2 linked regions of the Nothobranchius furzeri genome follow. The protein of the gene in region 1 binds, or shares a complex with, the protein of each later gene. Links are inferred from orthologs where the notes say so. Each region holds a gene or a part of one and is shown on either strand. Other genes may lie near its edges.

What was found.
Region 2: heatr3 (region 1) and rrs1 share a complex: the UniProt entries of both Homo sapiens proteins name them as parts of the hexameric 5S RNP precursor complex. The link is inferred for Nothobranchius furzeri from reciprocal best matches to the Homo sapiens genes HEATR3 and RRS1.

What each region holds. Positions count from the first base shown.
Region 1 is NC_091749.1:70,409,861-70,414,436, forward strand, and holds the start of heatr3 (HEAT repeat-containing protein 3), read left to right. Parts: upstream 1-1,728; 5' UTR 1,729-1,860; coding exon 1,861-2,001; intron 2,002-4,576. UniProt on the Homo sapiens protein: Plays a role in ribosome biogenesis and in nuclear import of the 60S ribosomal protein L5/large ribosomal subunit protein uL18 (RPL5). Required for proper erythrocyte maturation.
Region 2 is NC_091747.1:51,664,569-51,668,418, reverse strand, and holds rrs1 (ribosome biogenesis regulatory protein homolog), read right to left. Parts: upstream 2,347-3,850; 5' UTR 2,299-2,346; coding exon 1,255-2,298; 3' UTR 758-1,254; downstream 1-757. UniProt on the Homo sapiens protein: Involved in ribosomal large subunit assembly. May regulate the localization of the 5S RNP/5S ribonucleoprotein particle to the nucleolus.

The sequences.
Region 1 (4,576 bases):
TTTAGGGGTAAATGACACTTTACCCCTTCGCTTGCTTTTATTAAGACATCACTCAGTAAAAGGGAAATCGTGATGGTCTTTCGTGGTTTTTTGTATTAATTTGGTTAATATGAGAGTTTAGTTGTTACTCGTTTTGTGTTGCTGCTGATGTGTCTTGTTAATCTGTGTTTTGAGTTTATATTTATTTAAATAAATGTTGTTTTGTTACTTTTACCACAAGAACATGCGTTCTCATTGTTACCCCAGGACCCCTAGACAGCCTGGAGCGTAACAGTATTCAAAAGCATCATTAATGGCTGATCCCACAGGATGATGACTTAACACCATATTGATCTCCTGGCTTTTACACTTTTGATGTTCGATTTTTACCCATTTGTGATTTAGTCTCTGTCCAACAGGTGACTGAGACGTGTGGTTCTGGGGGAGTAGAGGTGTTGTTGATGCCATAGGTTTTTGTATCACACAGGCCCGTTAAGAAGCTAACACTGGGTGCTCCTTCTGTGAAATCATAATTGTGTAATTTCATGAGTTCTGTAAAGAAGAAGATATCATTTCTATAGCGTCTCTCAAGATAAAAATCACAAAAACAAAAAATGTAAAAATATTAAAAAGCATTTAGAAAATATATTTAAAATGAGCAAAAATAGTCAATTGTGATTAAAAAATGTAAAGAAAGAGAGAGAGTGAACAGGAAAGAGGGAAACCAGTGGATCCTGAGGAAGGTGGAATAGGTGGGGAGAGCAGAATAAAGAGAGTGTGGTGAAGAAGGTCATACAAAAGCCAACTTGAAGAGGCAAGTCTTCAGCTGCTTTTTAAAGGAGACCACTGAGTCCACTGATCTCAGGCTCAGGGGGAGAGAGGTCCAGAGTCTGGGGGCCACAGCAGCAAATGATCTGTCACCTTTGGTCTTTAGCCTGGTGCTGCACAACCAGTAGGCTTTGATCACTGGACCTCAGGGACCTGCTGGGGGTGTAGGGACTAAGAAGATCACCAATGTAAGATGGTGCTTGTCCATGTAAGGCCCTATAGACCAGAACCAGGATCTAGAAATGAACCCTGAAGTTGACTGGCAGCCAGTGAAGCTGGAGGAGAAGCGGGGTGATGTGGGTGTGTTTGGAGGACTTGGTCAGAAGCCGAGCACAGGCCTTCTGAACCACCTGTAGACGGTTCAGGGAGGTTCTGCTCAGACACGTGAAAAGAGAGTTACAGTAGTCTAAGCGTGAGGAGATGAAGGAGTGGAGAACTGTCTCAAGTTCAGAGCGGGACAGAATGGGACTCAGCTTAGCAATGTTCCTGAGATGGAAGAAGGAAGAGCGAACAAGAGAACTGACATGGGAATCCAGGATGAGAGCTGGGTCAAAGGTCACGCCAAGATTCCTGACAGAAGGTTTGGTGTGGGAAGCAAGCTGACCAAGAGAGTCTCTGACTTTGGGAACCAGCTTGTCTGGGGCACAGATGAGGATCTCAGTCTTATCTTCATTCAGCTGAAGAAAGCTCCCAGCCATCCAGGTTTTGAGGTAAATAAATACATGACATCAAAAGTAAAATAAAACGTAAAAAGAAAAGAAAAAACACAATCATCAAAATGTGCAAATAGAAAGAAAAAACTATCAAAAACTTCCACATAAATAATGATTTTACTTTTGAGGAGTTTGCCACACTTGAACAAAACGTCTCTTATCTGTTTTTGCGACAACGTCACTGCTTTCCGCCAGCAGCAATCGCTTTACGGCAGGAGAGAGGACCTTCCACATGGCTTCCGCCTGAGTCGAGTCGTCGGTGTTTTCGCTAAACTTTCGCCCTAGCCCAGCGCTCAGCAACAGACATCCTGTTTACACGAACCCGTAGAAACGGGCCGAAATGGGTAAAAGCAAAACCACTAAATTTAAACGTCCGCAGTTCAACTCGGTCGGTTTGCCGGTGAACGCAGTTAAAGAGGAGGACCCGGCCGAGGAAGACCACGATGAAGACGACTGTCCAGCTGCAGAGCTGCTGGAGAAAGTAGGAACTTTAAACCCACAGAGTTGTGTTCGCGTGCGTTAGTGAAGCTGGCGCGAGCTAATTCACACGAACACCTGTCCTACACCTGTGTCTGGATGAGCAAATGCAGACAGCTGGGAGTTTAGTTCCTTCAGTTAACTCGTGCTCGATTTTTCTAGCCAGCTTAGTTTGGTTTTGAAAGTGCTTACCTTGTTACTAAAATGCTTCACCGTGCAGTTAAATAGGTCACAATTAAGACTTTATTGGATTAATGAAGTGAAATTAATGTAAATGTTTTATTTTTGTATCATCCCTGTCACCTGCTGGGAAATTTAAATAATAAAGTGCTTGGTTTAGATTTGGGCAGTGATGTAAAACCATGTTTAATCAGAGCTGCAGGGCCAGATAATACGTCAATTAAACAGTCTGGAGATGGATTAAAGTAAAACTAGTAAATAACACAAAAAACTTAAATATTTTCAATTTCCAGAATAGGAGCAAAAAGTACCATTGCACACTCACTTTCATAGTTTAATAAATGAAAAATGGAAAAACAAATGTTACTGTAAATAAAGTAGAGACGGTCAATATTGGCTTTTTTTAACCATTATGCCGATATTGTCTGCACTTAATTTCCGATAGAATAGACTTTATTGATCCTACAGTGGGGAAGTTCACTTGTTACAGCAGCACCAACACTTAAGAGAATAATTGGAAGAAAAGTCATATCAGTGGTACATGTATTTATACACATAGGCAGTAGTCTAGTATTGCAACCTTCGACCCCTAAAAACCTTGAGTAAAAAAGAAAAAACTTTGCTCCAATACCAGAGGCGGATTTAGCAATTTGGGGGCCCAAGGTGAACACAGACATGGGGCCCATAGTGTTGGACCAGCACTATGCAGCATGCTGCAAGAGACACAAGCATGCAATGTAAATCCGGTATTGCACCAGTATTGAACACATAATGAATGTTGCATTGGTGTTATTGTGTACCAGGATAATGCCAGTAAACCTTAACCTGAGGAGTTATACACTCTTACCGCTGAGAGGATGAAAGCTGTTTTACATCTGGGATGTCTGCTGTGTTATGAATACAGAGGGGCGAATTTAGACAAAGTCAGCAACATGTTTACATCACTGAACAGCTGCAGAGAGAACATAAGCTAACGTTGGTAAGCTAGTTAACATACCGCTCTCTATGAGCCCCCGCTAGATGTGCTACTTCTTCTTATAACTGAACTGGGCATGAACTAGTTGAAGGAATGCTGGAGGAGTTTTGTTCTTGTTTTGATCGCAAAAGCTATCGCTCGGTATGGGGGCCAAAATTAAGACTGCTGCCCAGCAGCAGGAGGCTATATAAATTCTGAAGCAAACTACTGATCTTATTAATTATAAGCTGGTGCCGGTAACTGAGAGGCTGGCGCTGCTTACTGAGAAATGGCACCTTTACGGCGTTATTACTAGATATGCTAGGGACTAGCGGCCCTCGGCTGGTCATTGACTGGTTTACACACTCCCTCTGCTGTCTATTAGCATGGATAGGCTAGCGTTAGCCTGGACAGAAGAAGAAGAAAATATCATTTCTATAGCGCCTCTCAAGATAAAAATCACGAGGCTGGTGTTAGCATTGGAGAGGCTAGCCATTAGCATGCCTAGGCTGGTCACTAGCTGGATTTCCTACCTCCTCGACGGACCATTAGCATGGATAGGCTGGCGTTAGCATCGGAGAGGCTAGCCATTAGTGTGCCTAGCTGGATTTCCTACCCCCTTGACGGACCTTAAGCATGGATAGGCTGTCATTAGCATCTGAGAGGCTAGCCATTAGCATGTCTCGGAGAGTCACTAGTCAGCTAGTCTGATTTATTATATGTGTATGTCAGTGTTTCCCAACCCTGGTCCTCAAGGCACACTATCCTACATGTTTTCCATGGCTCTGCGTCAGCACACCTGCTTGACACTGCCTCCTCAGGAGGACATCAAGTGCTGCAGATGCCTGTTAATCACCCATTCATTTAATCCATCAAATGACTCTGGACGCAGTGGTCTCCTTCAAAAATTCAATTCAGTTCATTTCAATTTTATTTATAAAGCGCCAAATCACGACAAGAGTCGTCTCAAGGAACTTCACACAGTAAACATTCCAATACAGGTCAGTTCATTAAGCCAATGAGAAAAAAGTTTTCTATATAAGGAACCCAGCAGGTTGCATCAAGTCACTGACTAGTGTCAGTCTTTACAGCAGTCCTCATACTAAGCAAGCATGTAGCGACAGTGGAGAGGAAAACTTTCTTTTAACACACACACACACCAAGTAATGTTTCTATGGTTACATTGTGATGTCTTAGTAAATATTCTATTTGGTGAGAGATAAACTTTATTGTATTTATCCTAGTGGATCTATAATTAAACGGGTAAACTAGTAGTAACACATCCAGCGTCAAAGAGAGTAAAGTGTTATTATCAGGAGAGGGAGAATGTTGAAAACTCACCTGTTCAAGCTGGTTAGGGTGCGACCTTCATCACCCTCTCCTTATTCTGCTCTCCCTACCTATTCCGCCTTTCCCAGGATCCACTGATTTCCCTCTTTCCTAT
Region 2 (3,850 bases), on another chromosome or scaffold:
CACCTGAAGGCCTGCTCTGTTGTAAACCTGTGATCAGTATTATGTAGAAATAATATTTTACATGTTTGAACCAAAATGCTGATCAGCTCTATCGATCTGGTTTAATAATCATCTTAATTTTCAGTTATTTTCAACATTTACAGTAATAATCAATAACAGCAAATATTCCTACGTTGCTTTGAATGAAAAAAATGACATCACTTAAATTTATTCAGTCTGAAAGTTATATTTATCTGAAATTTTTTTCCCATTTGCTATTTTATCTGATGTTTATCGGTAAACAGATTTAGTTCTTCGTGACCCTAAAGCATTGAATTATATGAATTTTCAGTGCACTTTTAGATTACAGGTGATCCCTCGTTTATCGCGGTAAATGCATTCCAGACCTGGCCGCGATAGGTGAAAATCCGCGAAGTAGGGACACCATATTTACAGTACAGTACTATATTGAATTATCGTATGATCACATTCTCTTTTTGTGGGTAAAACTCAAGAAAAATCTTTTTTTACTTGTTTTATTACAAAAAGTGCATTTTATGATGAAAAAACAGGAATTTCTTGATATTTCGCATAGAAAAATGCCGCAAATCGGTGAAAAATACCGCGAATCGGCGAATTTCCCTTGAATAAGGCTCCGAAGAAAAAATCTGCGAAGTCGTGAATCCGCTATAAACGAACCGCGAAGTAGCGAGGGATCACTGTACTTGTTTTTCTAAATAAATGTAACTTCAAAATCTAAAATGAAACATGGACAAAATAAGGTGAAATACTATTTATTTGTAAATGTATCCATTTCATGAATTAAGGTTGAGACAAATAAACACGCAACATGACAGTGACAATTTTAGGATGAATTTGAGCCTTTTCTTCCAGGTTTATTTGAATATAAACCTAAAAAATTAAATAAACAGATTATAAAGCCATTAAAGTTTCAAATGAGGCTTTTTGAAACTATTGGTTTTCTTAAACACTTTTTCCACCTAAAAAGGTCTAAACTTTATAATTATGACAGCAAATTATTTAATCTAATGTTAATTCTCCCAAAATGCTTTGTTGCTGAACTAATACAACTCATACATTTGTAAAATTAACCATAAACAACAGATTTGTATAAATGACACCAGATTTCTTCTTGAAAGTCAAAATATTGATGTTTTAAATCTCTTATTTCAAAAACACCAACGAAAAATAAACATCAGTTACTTATCGCTGCTGTATGAAAGTGTATTTTTTAAATATTTTTTATTAAAGTTCTCATTTCTTCCCAGGTTTTCCTCTCCTCTTTCCCCCTCCTCCAGCTTTCCCAGCCTTCCCCCCTCCTCCAGCTTTCCCAGCCTTCCCCTTCCCAGTCATGTTCCCTTTCCTTCCCCTCTTCCCACCCCCCTTCCTGCGCTTGGCTGCAGCCTCCTCTTTGTCCTCCTCCCTCATCTGCTGATTCACAGCCTTGGTGATGTCCAGTCTGGGCTTCTTGCTGCCCATGGTTTTCAGCAGATCCAGCTGCTTCTGCTTCTCGCTGGAGAAGTCACCGATCAGAGGGTCAAACTTCCTCCTCTTGCCTGAGTTCTTTGGAGGTTTCTCTTTGGGCAGGTCGTCCTGGAACCTCCCAACAGATGCTGTGGAGACTTTGGCCACACTCACTGCTTTGGCCAGCTCGTTTCTGGACTGCTGAGCTTTGGGGACCAGTCCCACGCCGGGGGTTTTGACTTTCTGCGCCCTGGCGATGTTTTTCAGCCGGTTGAACTCGTTTTTAGCCACTCGCTCCTTCTTGGCTTTGACCCGTTTAGCGAACTGGTCCTCGTTGGGGTCCGCAGTCTCTGGCACCTCAATCAGCCACTCCTTGGTGTCGTCGTTAGCCCTCTTGTAGCCCCAGCGTCTCTTCCACTCCTTCGCGGTCTCATCCCAAACCAGATTGGTTTTCTTCTTCTTTTGGATGCCTTTCAGCTTGGCGAACTGCTCCCATTTGGTTGGAGGTCTAGGCTTCAGTGGGGGCTTCTCTCTCGGCAGCCGGGTGGTCGGTTCCGGTAGCTTAGCTACTATCACCTCCTCGACCCTCTCCGTGGGGAGTTTCCATATCTCGTTGATGAGAAGTTGTGTGTTGTCACGAGCTAGCGACCGCAAGAAGTCCTCCTTCTTCTGTTCTCTGAAGTCCCGCGTCTCGATGCGGTTTTTGTCACAAGCTAGCAGGTTACCGAGGTCGAAGTCCAGGTCCAGCTCCTTCTGGACGGTGATACTTTTCAGTTTTTCAGCCTCTTCTTGCTCGGCTTTGGCTAACAACTCCTCCACACTGCTCGCAGCCATTTTCTGAACGCTCAACTCCCCACGTGCGAATCCGGAAAAACAAGGCAATGTACTTCCGGGTCGTGGGCAGCAACCGGAAGTTCTCATTTTGGCCACTAGATGGCACTGCGGTCGCTGTTTTCACCAAGAGTACAAAACAGAACGAAATGAAAAGTGACGGAATAAATGTGATTCATTGTAAGCCACAACAATAACAATAACAAATATATACAGACATATGAACATGCTAATCAGCTGTGCTATCTTGCAAGTTTATGTACACACAGCAGAACATTAATTAATTAATTCATGGTGCTTAAGGACGCCAAATATAAACAAAAACTTAAAAAATGCAGATCTTTTCAATGAGATGTTCAAATTTAAATTTTTCTACTATGCATACTTTATTGTAAGCACGCTTCTATGATTTAAAACTGAGTTCAAACAAGCCTATTGCATCATTATGTTGTGTAACAAATACACACTTGCATATTAATCATTGCAGCTTGTTTACATGCATTTTTAATGCATTTAATTTGTAAGCACCTTTCAGGACTCTCAAGGTCACTTTAACAGAAACGACATGATACAGGTTAAAACACTGTTAAATTAAAAATGCAAATCAAACAGTTAAACAGATACAAGTTAAAAATGAAAACAGTAAAATGCTAAAATACTAAACTAACAATTCAAGTTAAAATTATCAACAGATAAGTCATAAATAATCAATCAATAGATCATTATCATAAAGATATTCATTGCACATTGACACATTAGTTAAAATCTACATAAAATAACAGTAGGAAGAACATAGTCAAGCAAATGTTTGCGGTTACATTAGGCATTTGAGAAAGCCTGCCTGAATAAATGAGTTTTCAGTAGTGATTTAAACTGGATGCCATGTTTACATGCATTTTAGGATGAATCTGCTTAAATTAGAGAAGACAAATGCACACGTTCCACAGCTTCAAAACATTACGTTAAATTATTATGTTAGATGTCAAGAATTAGAATAAACGGCTTACGTAAGTTTAAAATCTTTAGAAAAGGTCTCCAAGTACCATCAGCTTTTGTACACATCCCTCTAAGTTTACTTTTAGGAGTACTGTAAATAAAATCATTATGCATAATTTATGAATGCAGAAATTTAAAATGATGCAACAGATTTCTTATTCTGTGACTTCTGGCTAAAATTCTCACTTTTACGGTATATTTGCTATTGCAATTGCTGACCCCATAGAAAGTTGTCCACATTTGGCAGAATTTTGCATTTTGTTTCGAATTAAAATAAGAAAACAAAAATTTTTACCACAACTTTTTACTTTATGAATGGAACCTTCTAAAGACAACAACAACAAAATTGTGTTTAATAAACCAGAATAGTTAAATAAGTCTAATAAGATTGGATGAAATTGTAAAAATGTGTATGAAAATGACCAGTTTTAATATATTAATATACAGTGTTTAGAAAGTTCCTGCTCTCAGACTCCTGTAGTGTCTCTGGATCATTTAAAAGTTTGCAGCTGTGATAAACTTCCCTACAGGATGGCTGAACATGTTTTCATGTGAGATT